Notamacropus eugenii: one gene and its partners. The protein of the gene in region 3 interacts with the protein of the main gene of each other region in a biochemical or structural test. Links are inferred from orthologs where the notes say so. Each region holds a gene or a part of one and is shown on either strand. Other genes may lie near its edges. The genes, in order: SH3BP5, IBTK and BTK.

What was found.
Region 1: the proteins of BTK (region 3) and SH3BP5 form a complex in vitro, tested with the Homo sapiens proteins (2 studies listed by BioGRID, with this or other methods). The link is inferred for Notamacropus eugenii from reciprocal best matches to the Homo sapiens genes BTK and SH3BP5.
Region 2: the proteins of BTK (region 3) and IBTK form a complex in vitro, tested with the Homo sapiens proteins (2 studies listed by BioGRID). The link is inferred for Notamacropus eugenii from reciprocal best matches to the Homo sapiens genes BTK and IBTK.

What each region holds. Positions count from the first base shown.
Region 1 is NC_092874.1:38,576,326-38,584,272, reverse strand, and holds the start of SH3BP5 (SH3 domain-binding protein 5), read right to left. Parts: upstream 3,081-7,947; 5' UTR 2,842-3,080; coding exon 2,692-2,841; intron 394-2,691; coding exon 331-393; intron 1-330. UniProt on the Homo sapiens protein: Functions as a guanine nucleotide exchange factor (GEF) with specificity for RAB11A and RAB25. Inhibits the auto- and transphosphorylation activity of BTK. Plays a negative regulatory role in BTK-related cytoplasmic signaling in B-cells.
Region 2 is NC_092873.1:154,841,884-154,849,621, forward strand, and holds the start of IBTK (inhibitor of Bruton tyrosine kinase), read right to left. Parts: upstream 3,048-7,738; 5' UTR 2,539-3,047; intron 1-2,538. UniProt on the Homo sapiens protein: Acts as an inhibitor of BTK tyrosine kinase activity, thereby playing a role in B-cell development. Down-regulates BTK kinase activity, leading to interference with BTK-mediated calcium mobilization and NF-kappa-B-driven transcription.
Region 3 is NC_092879.1:92,839,179-92,846,466, forward strand, and holds the start of BTK (tyrosine-protein kinase BTK), read right to left. Parts: upstream 3,037-7,288; 5' UTR 2,886-3,036; intron 2,689-2,885; 5' UTR 2,578-2,688; intron 1-2,577. Other genes in the region: RPL36A (large ribosomal subunit protein eL42), read left to right, coding at 6,428-6,607, 7,272-7,288. UniProt on the Homo sapiens protein: Non-receptor tyrosine kinase indispensable for B lymphocyte development, differentiation and signaling. Binding of antigen to the B-cell antigen receptor (BCR) triggers signaling that ultimately leads to B-cell activation.

The DNA of each region.
Region 1 (7,947 bases), on a different chromosome or scaffold from region 3:
CAATCTGGACACGAGGCAACTTGCTGGGCCCCAAGGATCCTGGATTGTTCTCCCCAGATCCATCAGGCCTACACTTAGGTCTAGGTGATGCAATGCAGACCTTTGAGACTGAGCCTGGCTGAGCCAGCTCCAGTCGTGAAAAGCAGAGCAGGAATGAGAAACCAGGCTCAGCTGTCTGAACCCAACTGTTTCAGTTAGTTACTGGCCAAGCTCCCAAGGAGGCAACCCCAAGGCTCATCTCACGACCACTAAAATCAAACAACAGGCCAAAATAAGAGTCCCATGGAAACCCTTTCACAGAAGAGGGGAAGGGGACACAGAAACCTATACCTCCAGCTCAGTTTCCCGTCTGTTGATGTCATCCGTGGACTGGTTTAGTTTCTCCAGTTCCCCCTGGGGAAAGAAGGAAACAGTTTAAAGCAGGGACTCCTAACCAGAGGGGTCTGCAAATCTGGAATGGGGGGGGGGGGAATATGAAATCTCTATCTTCACTAATTTCTAACTAGAATTTAGCATTTCTTTCAATAACATACAAACATTCTTCTAAGAAAGGAAGACATCACCTGACACCTTAAACATGACTCAAAATGAACATGACTCAAACAAAGGTTAAGAATGCCTGATTTAAAGATTTATAGTTTTGTTTGCTTGTTTTTTTTAAAGTAAAGCTAGTGTATTACCTGGAAGCAGACACAAAGGGAACAAAATAGAAGATTAAGGGAGAATTATTAATCCTGACAGCGATCCCAAAGAAAATAGCTCAGGCTCTAGCTGGAATGTTAACTAGAAACAGAAACATGGATGAACTTTCTCATGTTTTAAAAACCTTTCCATGAAAGGGGTCCCTGGTTAAGCGGGAAGAGGAGATGGTGAAACCACCATTTAAGAGTGTATGAGTGTGTTTGTGTGTGTGTGTTTGTGTAAGATTTTAAGACTAAGTCTTTTTTTTCTGGTAATCCCACCAAGGGTTATTTCTCTTTGCTTACAATGCAAAGACTTATTCCAGGAACCTGACTTCAGAGTAGTAGAATCTGCTACCCTGGCATGGGTGAGTGCCCGAGAGCTAAGGGTTGATTGACTATCTTTTTAACATGGTAAGAAAGGAAGCCTGCAAGTCCAAAAATAAATCGAGGTCAAGAATCTACCCAGCTCCCAAAACTGTAAATCAAAGGCCTGACTTCTGACAATAGCTCAGAAGGTGCTGAGGGCTTTTTTCTTCTTTGTTAATGAATGGATTAAAAACAAAAACGGTGCGAGCTAGCCGATGGCCTTAGCGGTTCTTACACCGGAGAACTTTTATTATGACCCTGTCCCTGGCACTGAAAATTGGGGTTTGTAAAAGAGAGAGTTAAAGTTGTGTGATCGATACTCCGGAAACAAAGAACCTTGCTCGGAGCCTCAAAGAAGGTGGGAAGCCCTGGTTTCAAGGAGGAGAAATTGAATTATTTTCATTCAAAAGCCTCATTCTCGATTTCCCACCTGACCTTTATCTTGCTAATCGGTTCCAACAATTCATTCAAACCCCATCCATAGAGTTAAATGATCTTTTAATTGATTAGTGAACTGAAAAACCAATTAGGGCTCAAAAAAATTGCGTAAGAGCTTTTAAGCAATAGAAAAAATGACCTCGGGGTGGAGGAAGAGGCAAGATCCTGGAAAACATCATTTATTGTATTGTGTTTATGAGTTAGGTGGTTCTAGGAGAGGGAAGGTGAGTTCTCGAAGCCAGATCTCTGCCTGAATTCTGACCTTACTGGGTTTTTAAACTTGTTTTTAGGAGTCAGAAGCCAGAAAGCTCCCCTTGCCCCATATTTCGGCAGGGCGGCTCTAAATCCCTCCTGTCCCAGCCACCTATTCGCTGACCACAGCCCCAACAACAAGGAAAAAACCCAGGGTTTGCTGTAAGGACTCAGGCCAAGGGGCTGCTCTGCAGCGAGAACCCCACCGAAGTGACAATGAAACCACGCGGGCTAACAATGAATTAGAGGAAAGGGAAGACTTTCCTATGGGGATGCCCCGATGACTCACCCCACCTGGGGTCGGGGCACCTGCACACTCGGCTAGGGAAAGCCGAGGTCCTGGGCAGAATGGGTCCCTGAGGGACATCTGCTCCCACCGCGACGATGCCCATGAGGGTGGGGGCAGACCCTGGTCACGGGACGAGTCCTCTCGGTGCACGAGAAAAGGAAGGAGCCAGGACGTTAAGCAATTTCGTGGCCAGACCCAGAGCTGAAGCGCTACAACTAGGCACTGACCCAAGGGGCAGAGCGAGGAATTAAATCTCCCACCGCCAAGCCAGTGCGGGGCCGGGAGCCTCCCACTAGCCCCCCCCATTTGTCCTTTGTTGTCCACCTCCCGGTGAACCGCTATCATCTCCATCCCCAGATGCTGTCGGAGGGGGCTGCCAACAGCGGGAGCCCACGAGCAGCGCGCGTGGGTGCGGTAGGCGAAGTGGGGAGGCCTCGCCGAGGAAGGGGTGTCCGGACCCCCGCCACGTCCCCCCAAACCCCAGCTCCGGCCCAAATCAAGCAGCCCCCTCCCCTGCCTGCAGTCCACGCGGGCGTACCGCACCCACTGGGGGAGGGAGTGGTTCAGGGTGGGGGTGTCAGCTCGGGCTGGATGGGGGTGTACGAACCCGGACCGCCTAGAATGGGGGTGCAGCAACCCCCACGGACGCCCCCCACCTCGTACCTGAATGCGGGGGTCTACCTCCTCCTCCTCCTCCTGTTCCATCATCTCGGGCTCCATCTCGTCCTCGTCCTCGTCCCCCGTGGGTGGCGGTGAAGGGCTCACCTCTGCCAGCCGCTCCTCCGGCCGGCCCCGCTTCGGCGCCGCGTCCATGCGGGCAGGTTGGGGTGCAGCACGGCCCCGGGCCGGGCGCCCTCGGGAGCTCTGAGCGCCTCCGGAGCGCAGCGGTGCGGAGCCTGCCCGTGTGGCCCTTGAGCGCGGCGGACACCCGAGACCCCGGCAGCGTCCAGGAACGCCGGCTGGCCAGCCTGCCCCGGGAGGCTCGTCTTCCCCTCGGGCCGGGCCGCGGCCGCTGGAAGGGGAGGAGGAAACGCGGGCGCCCGCCCCTTCTGCCGATGCTGTCAGCGCAGCATCCCGGCCTCCTCCCTCCTCCTGGGCAGCCCTGCCCCCTCCCACTCTCCTGCCCTGCTGTCGGGACCCTCGAGGCCCCCCGGCCCGGCCCAGCCGGCCCGCCCGAGGGACGCAGCTCCCAGCGGCTAATGAGGGAGCAGGGGCTGGAACTGAGCTTTGGTTGTAATTCTGTATTGACGGTGCAGCCGGCAGTCACTGCCGAGCAAGGAGCCCATTGGCAAAGCCTCTGGTCCTAGCTGGGGGCAGAGTCTCTTGGTTATAGGATAGGTGACTGGACAGATAGTTCCTTATATGTTTATACTTATAAATCCGTGGCTACATATGGGACGCGTAAAACTACCTACACAGTTATACATACCCCGTAGTTACAAAAGTTATGTAATCATATGTAACTATATTGATAAGGATAGTTACATATACTACGTAACTATATCGTTATAAATATGTTAGGTATAGTATACGAATAACTATGTAGTGATATACTGTGTATAACTATAACTATGCATATCGTTATAAACATATAGTTTTTATGTAACTAGATTGTGTACATATATATATGACTATATGTGTGTATATGTATATACATACATACAACCTAAGTATCTTTTAAAATGCCTTTTTAGAGAGGGAAGAATCTGTTTGTCTCACTATTTAACCTTGGGTAATGGGGCAGCAGGAGACACCTGGTTTCTAAACCTGCTCCTGCCACTGGAGCCTCATGAGTTAGAACAGGAAGGAGCCTTAGGGATCGATCAAACAGTCCAAGAGATGAGGGCTGCTGGGTGGAGGTATCTCTGAACTTGGCGGGGCGGGTATCCATCTTATTTTCACTAATCTCCAACCGAAATCCAGCATTTCTTTCAACTACTTAAAAACTGTGACTCTAAGAAGGGGTCTATAGACTTTTTCAGATGGGCAAAGCAGCATATGAATCAATAAATATTTATGCTTAATATTTATGCCTACTATGTACCAGGCACCCAGTGCTAAGCCCAGAGGATACCAAAAGATACCCCACTAAAATGGTCCTTGATACAGTCCAACCCATGCCAGGTGCTGGGGATACAAACCATAGGCTCCTACATCCAGACTTGGAAGGGCCCTCAGAGAAGGAAACTGAGACCCAGGTTGAGATAATACATTGAAATGCTTTACAAACCTTATATAAATGCAGCCTGTTATGCTTGAGTCACATGCCCAAAGTCACACTAATAGTAAGCATTCAGGAGGGCTCTGAAGCCTCTGTGACTTAATAGCTAGTCTTTCCACACCTACCCTCAAGACAAAAAACCACAGTCCTGGCCCTCAAGCATCTCCCTTTCTATATGGAATACATTTTTATAGCTGAGAAAACCAGGTGCAGAAGAATGAAGTGACTTGGCCCAGTTAGGTATCTGTAATCTTGTTTCTAATTGACCCTCCTGAGGGGTTTGGACTAAAAGGTCTGAAAGTTTCCTTCTCATTCTGTATCGGTACCTGGAATGGAGCCCCCCAGTATGAGTCTATGGTGCTCCGTTCTCCTTCATTTACCTTCTCCAATCATCCTCCTTCCAGACTTCAGTCAGACTGTTCGTGAATATCTCAGATTGGCCAGACCAATTTCCTGATACAAAGGGGTGAAAGCAGGGATGTGCTGGTAAATGTTTAACACCCAGCTCTCCTGTGGGGAAGGAAATGTAGTTAGACACATTTTAAAGTTTTATCTGCATTATTAACATTTTTTCCATCACTTTCTCAAATCTAGACAATCAGCAAATCAATACATCAAGCCATAACTTGTAGTTTGCCAATTTCCAAATTATGAAGTCTCACCCTTTAAATAGTCTGGATTTGAACTTGTGAAGATGAATTTTCCTGACTCCAAACAGGGCACTCTATCCACTATGCCATCTAGCTGTCCCAAGTTGATCCATAGGTCCATCCATTGATCTGACCTTTCCAGAAGCAATTAATCAATCAACAAACATCTATTTAGGCCTACCACGTGCCAGGCTCCTTGCCAGGCTCTAAGGACAAAAGTACAAACAATGGAATGATCGATACTCACCATGAACTCATGTTCCATTGGGGAGACAAGAAGGACATTTAAAAATAGATAAAACATAATTATAAAATTTATAAATACATGTTGACAAATAGACTAAATACAAAGTAGTTTGGGAGGGAGGCCACTAGTGGTTGGGGAGATCAAGAAAGGCCTTATGCAGAAGATGGCACCTGAGCAACGTCATAAAAGAGAGGGACTTTACGTTGGAAAGAATGGATTTCATGAATGTTGGACAGTCAGCACAAGAAGATGGCCTGGAGATGGGAGGAGAGTTGGTATTGATTTGATTACTCTACCCAAAGTAAGAGATAAAAAGGTACAGGACACCTCGTAGTGACCAGACCAATACAAGAGGGCTGGATGGGATGTGCAGTCTGGTCTGCTCTGGGGCCTGTAGTCACCAAGGGGAATTCTCTCACCAATCCCAGCTGAGGGTCAGAAGCCCAGCCTAGGGCTGGAGCTCCAAAAGCTGAGTAGATTCACTCCCCTAGGGACTTGGGGCATAGTTTCTGGAAGTATCAGTGAACCACTTCTTTACCTGGATGAAACACTGGAGAAGGACTTTAGTGAAACAATTGTCCATCTCTCTGATTCATTTGATGCCAAGTCCTCAGTCACAGGCACAATCTTAAGCATAATATAGTTGTTACTAGAAAATACAAACTGGGAGCCAAGATGGCAGAGTAACAGCATGGACTTGCTAGTGCTTTCCCCCCAAACCTAGCCAAATATATGTAAAAAATTACTCTAAACAAATTATGGAGCTACAGAACCCACAGAATGACAGACTGAAGCAAATTTCCAGCCCAAGACAGCCTGGATGGTCTCCAGGAAGTGTCTATCATGCCACACTGGGAGCAGAACGCAGGACAGTGTGGGCCATGCCAGCACAGATGGGACCTGAGCAAGCCTTGGAAGGACTGAATCTCAGGCACCTGTGGCGATTTCCAGACTTCATGACCCCAAAATGCTGAGGACAAATTGGAAGGTCAGTGGAAAAAACCTGTGAGACCAGTGTGAGAGAGTAGAGTGGTCTGACCCCAGCCCCGGGGTGGTGGAGGGGGTGGAGCAGCCTGCAGAGGAGGAGCCCAAGGCAGCAGGAGCAGGGGCAAGGGCAGCAACAGAGACTGTTTCTGGAGCTCTAGGTCCACAAATTGTGAGGGGATCAATCAGCTGACAGTACACCCCCAACACCACTGGAATCAGAGAACTACTATGACAAAGAGATCACGAGTCAAGTAAATGGCTGGGAAAATGAGCAAAAGCAGAAAAAGAATCAGACTATAGAATCTGACTTTTGTGACAAGGAAGACCAAAGCATACAAACAGAAGATAGCAAGGTCAAGGCTCCTACATCCAAAGCCTCCTAAAAATATATGAATTGGTCTCAGACCATGGAAGAACTCACAAAGGATTTTGAAAATCAAGTAAGAGAAGTAGAGGAAAAATCAGGAAGAGAAATGAGAGTGATGCAAGAAAATCATGAAAAAAGGAGTCAACTGCTTGCTAAAGGAGACCCCCCCAAAATACTGAAGAAAATAACACTTTAAAAAATAGACTAACCCAAATGGCAAAAGAGATCCCAAAAGCCAATGAGGAGAAGAATGCCTAAAAAGCCAGATGGAAGAGGAGGTTTGAAAGCTCACTAAAGAAAATAATTCCTTAAAGATTAGAATGGAGCAGATAGAAGCTAACGGCTTTATGAAAAATCAAGAAATTATAAAACAAAGCCAAAGGAATGAAAAAATAGCAGACAATCTCATTAGAAAAAACAACTGACCTGGAAAATAGATCCAGGAGAGAAAATTTTAAAATTATTAGACTACCTGAAAGCCATGATCAAAAAAAGAGCCTAGATATTGTCAAGAAATTGTCAAGGAAAACTGCCCTGATATTCTAGAACCAGAGGGTAAAATAAATATTGAAAGAATCCACCAATCACCTCCAGAAAGAGATCCCAAAAGGAAAACTCCTAGGAATGTTGTAGCCAAATTCCAAAGCTCCCAGGTCAAGGAGAAAATGTTGCAAGCAACCAGAAAAAAAAAACCAATTTGATTATTATGGAAATATAATCAGGATAACACAAGATCTAGCAGCTTCTACATTAAGGGATCACAGGGCTTGGAATATGATATTCTAGAGGTCAAAGGAGATAGGATTAAAACCAAGAATCACCTACCCAGAAAAACTGAGTATAATACTTCAGAGGAACAAATGGTCATTCAGTAAAATAGAGGACTTTCAAACATTCTTGTTGAAATGACCAGAGCTGAATAGAAAATTTGACTTTCAAACACAAGAAGAAAGAGAAGCATGAAAAGGTAAACAGGAAAGAGAAATCATAAGGGACTTATTAAAAGATCATGTTTGTAACTCTTGAGACTTTTCTCATTATTAGGTTAGTTGGAGGGATTAAATACATATAGACAGAGGGCACAGGGTGAATTGAATAAGTAGGGATAATATCTAAAAACATTAAATTAAGGGGTGAGAGAGGAATATATTGGGAAGAGAAAGAGAGAAATAGAATGGGGCAAATTATCTCTCACTTAAAAGAGGCAAGAAAAAGCTTTTTCAATGGAGGGGAAGAGAGGAGAGGTGAGAGGGAAAGAGTGAATCTTACTCTCATCACATTTGACTTGAGGGAATAATATGCACACTCAATTTGGTATGAAAATCTATCTTACACTACAGGAAAGTAGGGGAGAAAAGTGGGTGATACAATGGAGGGCAAATGGGAGGAGGAGGTAATTAGAAGTAAACAATTTTGAGGAAGGATAGGGTCAAAAGAGAGAAGAGAA
Region 2 (7,738 bases), on a different chromosome or scaffold from region 3:
AGGAATGTTAATTGTTTTATGGAACCCATCTGTATTTTGTCATCTTTGCTAGAGGCTGGTGTCTTCTTGCAGATAAAAAGATACAGAGATAAAAAGATAAAAACTCCTTTAACCATACAAAGACAGAAAAGGACTCATGACAAATCTTTTGAGGATGTTAATTTTGTGGGGCTAGACAGATATACCCAGGGGAATACCAGCATGAGAGAGAACTTTTCTATCAAACTAACTTTAGCTAAATTCTTGAGTTCAACTTCAAGATAGAAATGTGGCTTAAGTAATCACACAAAATAGGGCAGTAATACAGAAGAGTATCGATTACAGAGTGGAACCACATATAAAATGATACAGAATCAATTTAATTTCTCCAACTGTATTGGTATCTGTTTACATACTTATCTTTTTCCCAACCAGAAGCTAAATTCCCTAGGGTCTTAAGATCAGGAACTCTCATGGGGTTTTTCCCCCAACAGTCCCTAAGACTGTATATTATGCACAGCATAATATAGCAGGTGCTATATTTAGCAGGTGCTAAATAAATGACAAAGGATGACAAAAAAGTTCCATAAATCCAAAATGTTATGTAGGTTTGTACCTGAGGCAACATGGCATATGGGAAAGAGTGTTGGATTTATTCTATATGGACCTATACTCTGTGGCTTACTATATTCAGTGACCTCAAACAAGTCATTTAACCTCTTAGGGCCTCCATTTCCTCATGTGTAAAATGAAAGATTAATTTTAAAAATTATCTCTATGGTCTCTACAAGTTCTAAATCTGTTAGTTAACTTAGATAATCTCTAAGAAGCCTTTCAGTTCTAACATTCTATGCTTCTTAAGTGAAATGACATCATGAATGAAATACTTAAATGACTAGCCAGAACCAAAAACAATCTTTTTTACAGCACTAAAACTGTTATTCACATAAGGTTACAAAACTTATCCTTTATTATGTTAAAAAAAATTGTTCTGAGATTTTTCTCTCTTTACTATTTTGTCAAAAGTTTCATTGCATTGGACAGAGCAAATTTATTCCAATCCTCTACCATTACAATGTTATTACTGTTCAAGTATTTTAGACTCTGTGACCTCATTTGGGGTTTTCTCGGTAAAGACACTGATTTGCCATTTCCTTCTCCAGCTTACTTTACAGATGAAAAAAGTGAGGCAAACAGGTTAAGTGACTTGCCCATGATCACACACAGCTAGTGGCTACAGCTGGATTTTAACTCAGGTCTTCCAGACTGCAGGTCTGAGGCTCTATCCACTGTGCCACCTAGCTGCCCTACCAGCACAATGCCCACATTCTAATTTGGATAATTTTTCCCAAGTTACTTTTAGAGGGAACTTCATTGGATATGGCAACTAATTTCTTCCCTATAAACAGCTATAAAATTTGACATTTATTCAAATTATTTTCAAAACAATGCTGGCTTAGTTTCTAATTCTACCTGTTCTGTACCTAAAAGCTTCTTACTCTTTTCAAAATGTTTATTTCCACAACTTTATGCAAAGGAATATATACACAATGTAAGTAATTTCAACCAACACTTCTTCCAAACTGCTTGACGAAAGCGATAAGCTTCTCTGCTCCTCTATAGAATGTGGTATAAAGGCCAAAGCAAATTTTAGTTTCCAAGACGTTTACGATAAATTCAAAAAAAACTTCTCAACTAAAAAGAGACTAACTAAAACAAAAATTTTAAACATTTGGGGCTTCACTACCAACAACAAAAAGGCTTCTGAATTTGCACTCCACTCGACAGCAGGGTAGAAACACAGCACATGAATAAAGCAGCTGGGGGGGGGGGGGGCCCAAGATAGATGGGATTTGTAGTCCGGTGTAAAGGCGTACCCATTTTATTTTGCTGCCACTCAAATTTTTAAAAGCATTAATTTGTGAATTAAAAAAATGACACTTAAATCCTTCCTCAATCACTGCTCCGGGTAAAAAGAGAGAAAAGGTTTGTCCCGCTGCCGGAGTAGCAAGGAACTTTTAAAATGAGACTGGTTTGAAAATGAGTGTGAAGTTCCCCTTTCCGCATTTTATCCACCACACTCAAGCGCAAGGAGACTGTTTCCTCCAAGCGTGATCACTGCCAGAATAAAAACAAAAAACCCTAGCGCTCCACTCTCCGGCTTCGGAGTTGGAGCGCAGATGACACCCCAAGCACCAGCACTTTGGGAGAGCCACGTCACGTGACAGGCACGGTCCGCTTCGAGGGGGACGCTGGTCAGACAACAAGCGAGGGCGCAGGGATCAGGAGGAGGTGGCCCAATCCAAAGGTCGGCCTCAGACCGCAGCATCCGCGGGGGCAGGTGGTGCCACCACCACGTAACCCAGCTGACCATTCATCGGCAGAGGGCCTGGCGCAGGCCCCCCCCAGCCGGGTGCTTAGATAAACACCCTGGGATGGGGCCTAACGCTTCCCCCCCTACACACACACACGCACACACGCGCAGCTCGGCCTGGGGGGGCGGGGTGGGCTTCCCTACAGGGCTCAGGCTCTCCTCCCCGCCCCCTGGCCGCCCCTCACCAGTCGCTAGATAAAACAGCGCCGGCGGTCTCCACGGGGTCTGCGCTCGGCGGACTGGGCACTCATCCTCAGTGACAACAGCCGGGGAACGCGAGGAGCGCCAGCTAAGCCGGTTCCCAGTGCCCTGTCCGGAGGGTCCGGCGGTGGCCAACGGCGATGACCCTCAAACCTCAACGGGAGCCGACGAGGCGCTGCTGGACCGGAGGAGAGAGGGAGATGGTGTAAAGTGGGTGGGACCCACCCTGGAACAAGACGGGCGCCGATTGGCTGCGGCTCACAGATGCCTCTTGGGGATTGGCTGAGCGGCTGCCAGGGTTCCCCGGGCCGCGGCCGTTTCCTTTACCCCTCGCTTCCTCTGAAAGTCCACCTTGTGCCCCTCCCCCATAGGACTCCCTCTGCCTCTGACTGACCCTGACCCTGACACCGGCTCGGAGGGTGGGAGGGACTTAGGGGAGTGCCACGTAAGTTGGGGCCCAAGCGGCCCTAGAGGGACCGGCTCCTTCGGGACCGCGCGCCCCGTGGGGTTGTGCCCAGGACCAAGCCGCCCCGCCCTCTGACACAACCCCCGGGGTCGGCGGCTCCACTCCTCCGCTACTGGAGCCGCGGGTGTGGACGCTGACCCGAATCGGGCTCGGGAGGGGGAGGGGCGGGCGCCCACGTGGCGGGGGATGGGCCTCTTCCACCCTCCCGGGAGCTTTTGCGCCACCTGAGCCCCCGCTGCCCGACTGCGCACGGGTCACCCAGGGGCCACGGGCATCATCTTCCTGCCCTGTCACCGTGCCCGTCTCTGGGCACTGAAATGCCACCTGGCTAAGCCATGTGTCATTCCCCGGTTTGACCTGTCACGAGTGGTGACCGCCTCCTCGGAGGCGGGATTTGGACGGGCCCTTCCATGCCCAGTGTGCTGCCACGTTAGGACTTGCTGCTGTGCCGAACCCCAGAACCGGAGGAGACCCCCGAGGCCGTGTAGACCAACCCCGCCTCTTTTTGCGGATGAGGAAACGGAGTTCTTTAACACTTGTTTGCTAATGTAATCACTGCCCAAGCTGCCATGGAAAAGGTCAGAGGCAGAATCTGAACCAAAGCCGTCCAGCGCCAGCGCCCAGAGATAGGGCTTTGTCGTGCCAGCCCTTGCCATTCAAGGTTTGGTTTCCCCTCCGCTAGCATCTCACGTTGAGGGCTTGAGAAAGGAGGAAAAACGCCTAGGAACATCTAGAGATAATGGCTTCCATACATTTCTCACCTTTGTTTTCTTTGCTGCTTTTTTTCTAATTGGGACCATTCGATACCTGAACTAGGGTAGTGACTGTGTGAAGAGGAAGAAGGGGATGTGTATCTATGTCTAGCTACATACATATGTATGTTTATATATGAGAAATATGTTCACAAGTTAGGAAGAGATAGCATGCAAAATGAAAGATGTAGGGATCATAGTTTGATATTAAAAGAAAACTTCATTAATTGCCTGATACACACCTGAATCCCTGACTGTCTGATTACCTCCCTGTGCTTCCTTGGGGAAATCACTCTTTCTTTCTGGACTTTACTTGCCTCATCTGTAAAATGAGAGGTTTGGAACCACTTTATTCACCTTTTGCAATCTGACTTCTAACTTCATCACCCCAACGTTCAGCTGAAATTGCTTTCTCCAGAATCACCAGTGATCTCTTACTTGCCAAATCTAATGACCTTTTCTCAGTCGTTTTCATTTTTAAAATCTGCTACACTATTGATCACCCCCTGAGTACTCTTTCCTCTAGTTTGTTCTGGTTTGTTTTTTTTTAAAGTAACTTTGCTGTCTTTCCTGATTCAACTTCCTATATGACTTCTCTTCAATTTTCCACTAGACTGTTCTGGGCTCCCTTCTTGTCACTCTCCGTTCTGTACTCTCATTTGGTGATCTCATCAGCTCCCATACGTTAAATTATCATCTCTACGTAAATGATTCTGAGGTCTATATATCCAGCCCAAGTTTTTCTTCTGGTCCTAAATTTCCAGCTGCCTTTTGGACGTGTCAAACTGAAGTCCAAAACAGAAATCATTATCTTTCCCCTCCAAATTCTCATCTCTTTTAAACTTTCCTACTACTGCCAAAGGAACTAGGCTCGCAAACTTGAAGTCATCTTTATCTCCTCATTCACTCTTACTCCACATATCCAATCTGCTGTCAAGGTTTGTCATTTCTACCTTGATGACATTTCTTATATATGCCCCCTTCTTTCCATTCACACAGCCACCATCCTAGTTCATGCCTTCATCATCTCTAGCCTGGACTACTGCAGTACCTTCTAATTGGTCTGCAATAACTTTTGTCCTATTCCAATCTATCCTCAACTACCAAACTGATTTTTAAGTGTAGGTATGATTGTGTCATTCTCTACTCAGTCAGCTGCAGAGACTTTCTGCTACCCCCAGGATCAGATATAAAGTCCTCTGTTTGGTATTTAAAGAGGTGCTCCTGCCTCCCTAGTCCTCTTACCCTTTATTCCCCTCCACCTGCCCCACAGTCCAACCACATTGGCCTATTTGCTGCTTCTAGCACACATAACATATTCTGTCTTTTTGCTTTTATTCTCGTCGACTCCTGTGCCTGGAATTTACTCCCTTCTATTAGTTTCCCTGGCTACCTTCAAGACTTATCTCAAATTCAGTCTTCTGCAGGAGGCTTTTCAAAAACCATCATCTGCTAGTGCTTTCTCCTCTGAGATTGACTTCTATCTACTGTGTAATGTTGTTTATGTATCTAATTATTTTACATGCCTGCTCCATTTGAATGTGAGCTCCTTGAGGACAGAGAGAATTTTTACCTTTGTTTGTGTCCCCAGCATGCCACACAATGCCTGAAACGTAGTAAGTATATATAATAAATGTTTATTGGAAGGGAAGGGAATAGGCATTTATGAAGCACCTACTATGTGCCAAACACTGTGCTACACACTTTGGAAATATCTCATTTATTTGATCCTCACAACTCTGTGAGGTAAGTGTTCTTATTATCCCCATTTTACAGTTTTGAAACTGAGGCAGACAGTTGTGAAGTGACAAACTGAGGCAGATGGTTGTGAAGTGACTTGCTTAGTCACAGAGCTGGTAAGTAATTTGATTTGAATTCAGCTTGTTGGCTAAGTATCTCAGTGCCTACTATATACAGGTACCATATTAATTGCTTGCCCTCAGAAAGTGTCTGTTCTACTTATGACCTCTATAATCCAGTGTAGCCCTGAATCTATAATGTTATGATAAAAGCAGTAACTACTTTAAAGAAATTCTGCATACTAGTTGTCAATTAAGTGCATTACATTTCAATTCAATAAATATTTATTGAACTTCTAGAACGAGATTAGGTTTGAAGGAGAATACAGAAGTAGTAGGTGAACTAAATCTTCCCCCAGAGGAGTTTACAGTCTTTTAGAAGAGAGAAGATTTTATGCATTTGAGAAACAGCACAGTGTATAATTCACAATAATGCACAATAATAGCATAGTACTTAATTCAGGATAATCACAAGCTAAAAATGCATGATAAAAGCAATTAAGTGATCAAGAAGAAGAGAAGTATACATAATACATAGAACTATCAAGTTACATTTCAAAAGAAGTGGGATTTGAAATGGATCTTGACTCATTGAACTTCCATGAAGAATAGAAAGGAAGAGAGGATTCCAGGTGGGGGAAATAATTAAAAGCAAAAAAAGATGTATTGTTACAGAAACTATGTAAGCCAAATGATCTAGTCAGTGAGAATATAGCTATAAAAATGAGGCAGTTCTTTCCCTCGAGTTCCTTCTTGGGGGCAGGGGTACAATAAGGAGGTAGAGAGGGGAAAGAATAGCACGTATACAGATATGTGAATACAGAATATATAATTGTTACAATAAGCAACTACTTCTGGGCTTAAACAGCTGAGAAACTATACCCCTTCTCTGTACCCAACAGAATGGACCCTCTCAACCCTGAACAAAGGCATACAGTCCAATTGGGTTCTGTCATAGGGGAGCCTGGCATTACACCCTTAAGTTAATTAAATCCCAACCCAAGCACCATGGGATAAATTATTTAAGGCTTAGATTTTAGTTCAAATCTACATCTCCTCAAAAAGCTGAGAATTAAAAAGATTGTCAAAATATGTAATATGAACCAGGTTTGAGATAGGCATTTATTTTCTGCACACCCATGAAAAATGAAGTCACTAAAGACTGCGCATTGGCAAAACTACTTTGAAAAGGATTCGGTAACTTCATCTATACCTACAATCTCATGGGAGACTGACATTTAAGCCTCATTAGAACATAAAACAATCTGTGGCCCTAGTGAATGGCCATAGCCACATTTTGCCTTTTCTCTGTCCAAACAACTCCTAGTCATACTACTGCTAGTAGTCACCTCTGATGAAAAAATTCACTGCCACCAGTCAGCTAGACTGTCAGACCACTCAAAACCATGAGGTCATCTCCAAGTCTAGACATATCCAGATAGAGATTGTTGCTCAGTCACCTACTCAGAAAAGAAGACTTAAAATGGATAATAAAAAGGCAAGGAGCCCAGATACAAGCTTGGCCAGTGAGGTCCCACTATTCTAGCTAGTATGTAAAAAATTCCTTCTTGCTGGGGTATGAAAGGAACAAGCGAACCCCCACCCCAAACTGGAAATCTCAGAATTACATGATTCTACTTGGAGAAAAGGAAAAGAAAGAAGAAAAAGCCACAAGCTGATTCTCTTTAACTGAGCCAGTACTTTGTCCTTCTCCTACTATCATGAGAGTTTTCTGCTGCATCATGCCAAAGTCAAGCAATAAACATTTATTAAATACCTAGTATGTGTCAGACACTGTGCTCAGCTCTCAAGATAGAATTACAAATAAAAAAAAAGGCAATCCCTGTCTTCCAGAAGCTAACAGGCTGACAGGGGAAGACAGCACACAACAAGAAACTGGAAAAATGGGGAGGGCAGAGTGCAGAAGAAAAATCATACAGGATCATGATGAAGAAAGTCCACAAGTAGTGTATCTAGAGGAAATGAGGAGTGACTGTCTTTGGCCCTTAAGTGGAAGTTTTGGAGCTCATGAATTTTCCCTCAGATCAGAAGGACAGATGGTACTCATGAAATGTGAATATCAAAGTAGTTTTGATTTTTCAATATGATGAGATTTTCCAATGATGAGTTTATTGGGCTATGATGGCATCATAGAGAAGTTCATAAG
Region 3 (7,288 bases):
GGAGAGTCCTAGGGAGCCTGGTGTGTATGGTCACTTCTTCTTCCCCGACACCCCCACCACCCCTTGTTTCCAGCTTCCTTTTGGTCAAAGGAAAGTGGGAGGCCAGAAGAGTGAAGGAACATAGTAGGGACACAAAGCCCCTGGCACCATGTGGCCTGAGCCTAGCATTTCTCTTACTTCTTTTCCAGTCCTACCCCTAGGGAGGAACATTAGTTTTCCATTCCTCCTCTTCCATGGTCACACACTCCTTTTCCCACCCCTGTAAGTCCTGAAGACAGGGAGTGTGGTAGAGTGGATCACCTTCACGCCAGGAATACCTGCATCCTACCTGTGTGACCCTGCTCAAATCACTTTCCCTCTTAGTGACCAAGACACTCAGTCTCTTAGCCTGAGTGGTAGAGAAGGTGCTGACGTGATTGATGGAGGGAGTTTCTGCACTGGAAGTTCCCTGTACCAATGAAATCACAGGGCCAGCCCCTCTCCCCCTCCCCTATGAGTTCCAAAGGCAATTCAGAGAGTAACCACTTGTTCTTGCCCCAGTGGCCTGGGAGACAAGAATAAGGAGTCTGGAACAACCTTCTCTGCCCCGCAGGGCCCACAATCAGCTGCAGCCCTGCCAGGAGGAGGGCTAGAACTGACCAGAGACCTTCTGGTGGCCCTAAGAACAGGCGATGCCACACTGGAGGGGGCTGGCTCCTCTCTTACTGACAGACACCACCCCAACTTAAGGTCACATGTGTACCCATGTACATACATACCAAAATGCAGACAGTCACACAATGTATGTATGCACACATAGAAATACACAGAGACACATGTGCATACATGTACATAACACACTGAAATACACAAGCCACACACAATGCATGTACATACACACAGAAATATACACATAGCCACATGTGCATGCATGTACACACTGAAATACAGTCACAATGCATGAATGTACATACACAGCCACACAATGCATGTATATATGCAGCCACACAATGCATGTACATGCACACAGAAATACACACATAGCCATATGCACATACATGCACACATAAGAACACATACAACCACACACACATGTACATGTATGTAAAAATACAACCCCCACTCCCACCCCCCCACCTGGGTTTAGAGAGGGAAGGGATCTTGGCAGTCATCAAGTCCAGCTCTCTCAAATATACAGCACCAGGCTAGGAAGATGGCAGGCAGCGGTGGGTGAAGGAAATACAGGTCATGGACCAAAGAGACAGATGCCTACATAGGTAGGTCAAGTGCTTCTTGAGACCCTCACAGGTGAGGCCAAAGTGAGCCAGGTAGTGAGGGGCAGAGCCGACATTTGATCCCAGGCCTCAAACTTCAAATTCCCTGTCCCCTGCTAGACTAAGGCCCTGATTAGGGTCAGTAACAGTGATGAGCAGTGCTAGCTCAGCAATGCCCATCAGAGCCCAGGGGAGGAGAGAAGGAAGAGGGAACAGGAGAAAGAGAGAGAGCAAGAAAAAGAGGAAGAAAGAAAAGGAGAGCATGAGGAGAGGAGAGATGAGAAATGGGACTAAGTAACGACTATGCCAGTGACACAGGCTGCCTGTCCCTGACCTAAAGAATTAGATTTTTTAAAAAATCAAACATGAACATTAGGTTGGTTCTGACTCTGTATACTTATTCCTTATTTGAGACTGAAATGGAACCTAATGTTTGGCTTCATGAGACCCTCAGTAGGCATCCCACATCTTCCAAGTGCCTTTACTCAGCATCTTGTGCTCTCCTGATCATCCTAGGGTGGACCTTTCAGCTCATGCACAGAGGAATTCAAGACCTAGAATGCTAGAAAGAACATCAAGGTCCCCTAATGGAATCCTCTCATTTTACACAGAGGGAAAGTGAGATACAGAGGGATGAACTAACTTGTCCAAATATCTGGACCAGATAACTTCCCTGGAACCTTTCAGCTTGAAATCTGGGATTCCATGATGGTACACTTAGAGCTGGAAGTTAAGGCAGCTGCCTTGGGAAGTGGCGGGCTCTCCCTTTCTGGAGGCCATCAAACAAAGGTCCTGATCACATTAGCCAATTCTAGGAAATGTGTGTGTGTGTGGGGAATTCTGATATTCCCTACCTCTGTGGTCATACAGCTATGATTCAGGCCTCCACTTTTTGCCTCCAAATCACCCCACCATGCTGCTGCCTTCTAAGGCCCAGCTGAACATTTGCAAAGAGGTCTCCCCAGGCCAGAAGGGCCTCTGTAGTGCACTCTCCAGACTTGCAAAGGCTATGAAGAGGGGAAGCTTTGTTTTGTGACAGTGCTTGTGCTTCTCCGTTACCTGTGACTGATTCTGGGGCTCCACTCTACTCCTTCCTTCCACTTTCCTTAGTCCCTTAGGCCACAACATTGGCCTCTCTTGGTTATCTAGCGCTGTCAGAACTTGGTGCTTTGAGTCCCCCCCCACCCCCCATCATCCACCTCCTGTGGCCACCTCCGACACCAGCCATGTTTTCTCCCAGCCCTCCCATATGGCCCTGAGGGGGGAAGGTACTCACTGTCGATACTCAGTCATTGTTGACCACCACCATACACTGACCACCTACCTGAGTCCTGACTCAATGCTGGCGGTTTCCCAGATGCATTAAGCTGCCCAGATGTGGAAGGTGGGATTCGATCAGCACAGAGACTGGCTCTGGAGACATATTCTTACAGTCCTGAGAGGAAGGACAGTGTGAGCAAACCCCACCCTTTCACAGACACTCAGTTCCCCTTTTTTTGTTTCCTGACTTAAACCAATGTCTTTTTTTTCTTCTCCCTTCTCAGAGGCATGGTATCTTATTTCCCCTTCCATCAGCCTGGAACCCCCAATACTGCCACCATGAGTTGGGCTCAGAAAAAAGCCTCCACCTACTTTGGTGTCACTGAGGCTCAGGCCGTAGAGCCAGGCCACAAAGGTGGAAAACAACCTTGACTTCAGGGCTACAGGAACAGGCAGAACACAGGGAGCAAAACTAGAGAGGAAAGAGGAGTGTAGAAATGGGGGGCAAGGCAGGGAGAGGTAGACAGACAGGGCAAGCAGCCTGTGAGGAAGGCCACCCACGGCAGAGGGGCTTGGAGCTGAGACAACTGCACTTAAAGGGGATAGTTTCTCCAGAAAACGGCAGAGCTAGAGATAGGAAGACTTCCTCTGTTGAGTCATTTTCTAAGAAAGATTTTTTTTCTTCTGCAGATAAAGATGTCAGAACATGGGCCAAGAAGCAAACTTGTACCTTCTCTATTTTCCAGGAATGTTGATTTTTTTTTCCATTTAAGACCCTTATTAGGAGACTATGCCTTTAATTATTTAGGACTCTGTAATCCTGGAAAGCATGCCTCTTTGGGCCACTCAGAAGAAAACTGGCATATTGTTCCCAGCTGGCTCTGGGGCTGAGCCCCACTGCTGCCTCTAGCCCACCCTTCTCCTACTCAGTGTGAAAAGGAGTGTCTTCCTTTGGTCAGTCCAGGAGGCACATTTCTCCCACAATTCTCCCAGGAAATAAGTGTTGGCACGTGCTATCTTAGGAATTAGAGCATTGGGCACCAGATGGTGAAGGCATCCCACTGCAATGTTGCCATCCATCCTCCCCCCACTAGCATACCCTTAGTTGCCTGTCTTGGGTGCCTCATGCAGAAGCCCTTCCTAGGCTCCACTGCAAGTTATCAAGTTATTAAGATTATTTAAAATGTTTAAAAGTTTCATCGATGCCTTTATTTACATTGCGGTCACCTACAGCCCTCCCCCAAACTCCAACGTTGCTCCAAATCTCGAAACAGCTCTAAACAGAAGTCAGCCATATCTGACAACATATGTCTTGTTCTGCATCCATAACCACCCCTTCTCTGCAAAGAGGACAGAAGTCTGTTACACTGGGTTCCAAATCTGCCTTAGACACTTATCAGTCAGGTGACCCTTAGCAAGTCACTTTGGTTTCCTTAGCTCTGCCATGGGGATAATAATAGCACCTACCTTTCAGGACTGTTGTGAGGATCAAAGGAGGTAGGATACATTAAGTGTTTTGCCAACATTAGGCCTTGGGAGTCAAGATTGGTCATTGAAATGATCTGAGTTCTAACATCTATTGACTGAGTGACTGACTTGGTTCTGCCTCAGTTCATACAAGTCTTCCCAAGCTTCTATGAAACCTTCACATGCCTGTCAAGATTCTCAAAGCAACAAAGTTGTCTTAAATGGGTATGTATTTTTTCAAAACCTTTTTATTGGCCAAGTATTGGCCTGGTTAGTTCTCACATTTACTCAAAGCAGACAAATAAGTAAAAATAACTGACCTTTATATGGTGCTTTAAAGTTTGTAAAGAGTCAGTGTAGTTACAAGGGCTGTTATTATATTCATTTTACAGTTGAAGAAACTGGCCATGGAGCCAATAAGCACCAAAGGTTGTATTTTATCTCAGAGCTTTAGACATCTGCTCCACACTTGTGTCCCCCAAAACCCATGATGTTAAAAGGAGTAAGAACACTTATCGCACTAACAATGCATCTGATTAGATAAAGGTTTGGGAAGTTTCACTTTTGTTTCCTTCCAAGTCCTAAAGTAGTGGATTGGCTACCTTCCATGGTCTGTGTTTTCTGGACATGGGGTCAGAGACGGCATTATCTATTGTGTTGTTGGATTTCTCAGAACACATTTAACTTGCAGTGGCCACAACATGAAAGCAAGCCAAAGGGGATGTCTGGTTCCTGGGATATTCCATTGGATTAGTGGGTGCTAGCCTTCAGCTTTATGGGGAGACAGGGGAAAAAGGTAATGGGGACTTTCTCTTGGATGGGGATGATTTGCAGCTTACAGATGCTCCACAATTTCAGGATGACTTTGAACTGGAAGAATCAAATTTATTTACTCTTATAAAACCAATTCCATAAATTTTGGTAGCTAGCTAAAAGTTTGAGGAATAAAATGGAAGTGACCACCATCCTGGCTAATCCTATCCACCAGGTATTTTGGCAGTGCTATTAAGTGAAAAAGGTCTTGTGGTCTTCAGATCCTTCTGTACTAGACCAAGGAGGAGGAGTGGAGGGCTACTTCCCTTGAGCCCCATAGTCTGCAGTCTCAGAGAATACAGATATTAGGGCTGGGAGGGCCCTTGCTAATCATATAGTCCAACCTCTTCATTTTATAGATAGAGAAATGGAGGCCTGGTGAAGGTGATTTGTCCAAGGTCATGGAAGTAGTAAGGGGTCAAGTCAAGATTTGATCCCAGTGTCTCTGACTCCGTATATTTATTACCCAAAGGCCTCAGCTCTCATTTGGTTGGCTCAACATGGCATTTTGCACTTAAGAATAATTAATAAATAAATAATATCTTTTAATAGTCATTATCCCCCACCCTAGTGGAAAGAAAACTAGAATTGGTGTCATAGAGCCTACTTTCAAATCTCAGCTCTGCTACTGCCTATATCCTGGAACAAGTTTGTTTGATCTCCCTGGGTCTCAGATTCCTTTTCTGTAAAATGAGTTTTGACTAGATGACCTCTAAGACCCCCCTCCAACTCTGCATCTAGTCCCTAGGACCCTATGTATTTTGGTGCCTCAACATGTTATGGAGGAGACTCAGGCTTTGTCAACACAGCATCTACAAATGACACCAAGCTCTGACAAGCCCTACCAAGTTGGAAAGGCTTTGAGGATGGGACAGATGATGTACTGTGTATATTATAATAGTGATGATAATTTGCAGGAAGGGCAGCTAGGTGGGTCTGGAATCAGGAAGACCTGAGCTCAAGTCTGGCCTCAGATACTTCCTACCTGTGTGACCCTGGGTGAGTCATTTCACCCTGTCTGCCTCAGTTTCCTCACCTGTTAAATGAGCTGGAGAAGGAAATGGCAAACCACTCCAGGATCTTTGCCAAGAAAAGCCCACATGGGGTCAGGAAGGGTTGGACATGACTGAAAACAGGTGAACAGCAACAACAATTTGCAGGAAGGGGCAGAAAGACCCTTAAGCTGTGGTAAGGACACAGTTTTCTTTGGAGAAGAGTTCTGAGCCAGTAGTTTCTTCCACTGTAAAACCAGGAGTTTCTAGAATCCTTTCAAGTGGACTTGACATCAGAGGGCCTGGTTTTTACTAGCCCTGTGACTTTGGACAGGAGCTTTTCTTTCTGGGGGCCTTAGTTTACTCACTTGTCATAGGAGGGGATTGATCATGGTTTAGAGCTGCAAAGGAGCTTAGAGAAGTCATGCAAACACATCATTTCCTAAGGATCTTGTCTGATCTAAACGTTGTAAAAGCATCAGCCCAGCGAGTGGGGGAGGTGGGAGAAGGGGCGGGGCGAGGAAGAGGGGGCGGGGCGAGGACGAGGGGCGTGGCGGGGAAAAGAAATGACGAGGCCACGCCCACCAGGCAGTGTGCATCAGAGGCGGGCCTCCGTGCAGCCCCTCCCCCTGACGTCAAGGCATGCGCGTGTGCCACCTTTTCAGGAAAGCCGCAGTCTTTCGCAGTCATCCTTGGAAGTCAGTCGTTTTCTTCAGCTCGTCGTCATCCTCGGCCGAGCGCTCGCCTATGAGCGCTCGGCCGAGGGATCCCAGCGGCCTGGACATCCGAGAAGCCCAGTTGGAAGCGCATCACTGCCCTTCGGTGAGTCCTTAGCGCCCTCTGCCCTGCACGTTTCCGTTGCCCTTTTGTCTCCTCTCAGCCTTTGTCTCCCCGCCTGTCATGGCGTTCTGCGCAATGCAGAACCGCAATTTAGAACTCGGCCGCCAGAGGGCGCACGGCGCATTTCCCCCTCTTGGACTCGGAGGGCGTTTCCCATGAAGCCATGCGGCCCGCAGCCTCTTTCTACCCCCATTTCCGGCCACGTCGCTTTCTTTTCGGATGACGACGCTGCGGCGGCCATCGTGGGCGTCCGGGGAGGCGCGAGAATCGGGCATGGTCATAGCTCGTGCGGGTCGGCTTGGAGGGCCCTGCAGAGCTTGGCCCCCCCTGACGAGCCCGCTCTTCCGGGAGGCGCTCGAACTTGGGCTCGCAGGGCTTCAGCTGGAGGCGGGTGGGCGAGAACAAAGGAAACATGGCGGTCGGCGGGGGTGCGGTGGGGTGTGGCCGTGCCCGGTCTAACGCGCCCGGCAGCCGGACCCCAGCACCTGGGCCTTGGTGGGGGCGTGGGGGGGTGGAGACCGGAGGAGGAGGAGGGTGGGAATCGAAGGTTGGCGCTGCCTCCCAAGCTCTGGCCGCTAGGGGGCGCCCTCCTTGGAAGGCCTTGAAGTCTTGGATGCCGCTTACTCATTTAATATTTTTTTCCCAGGTGAACGTCCCTAAAAC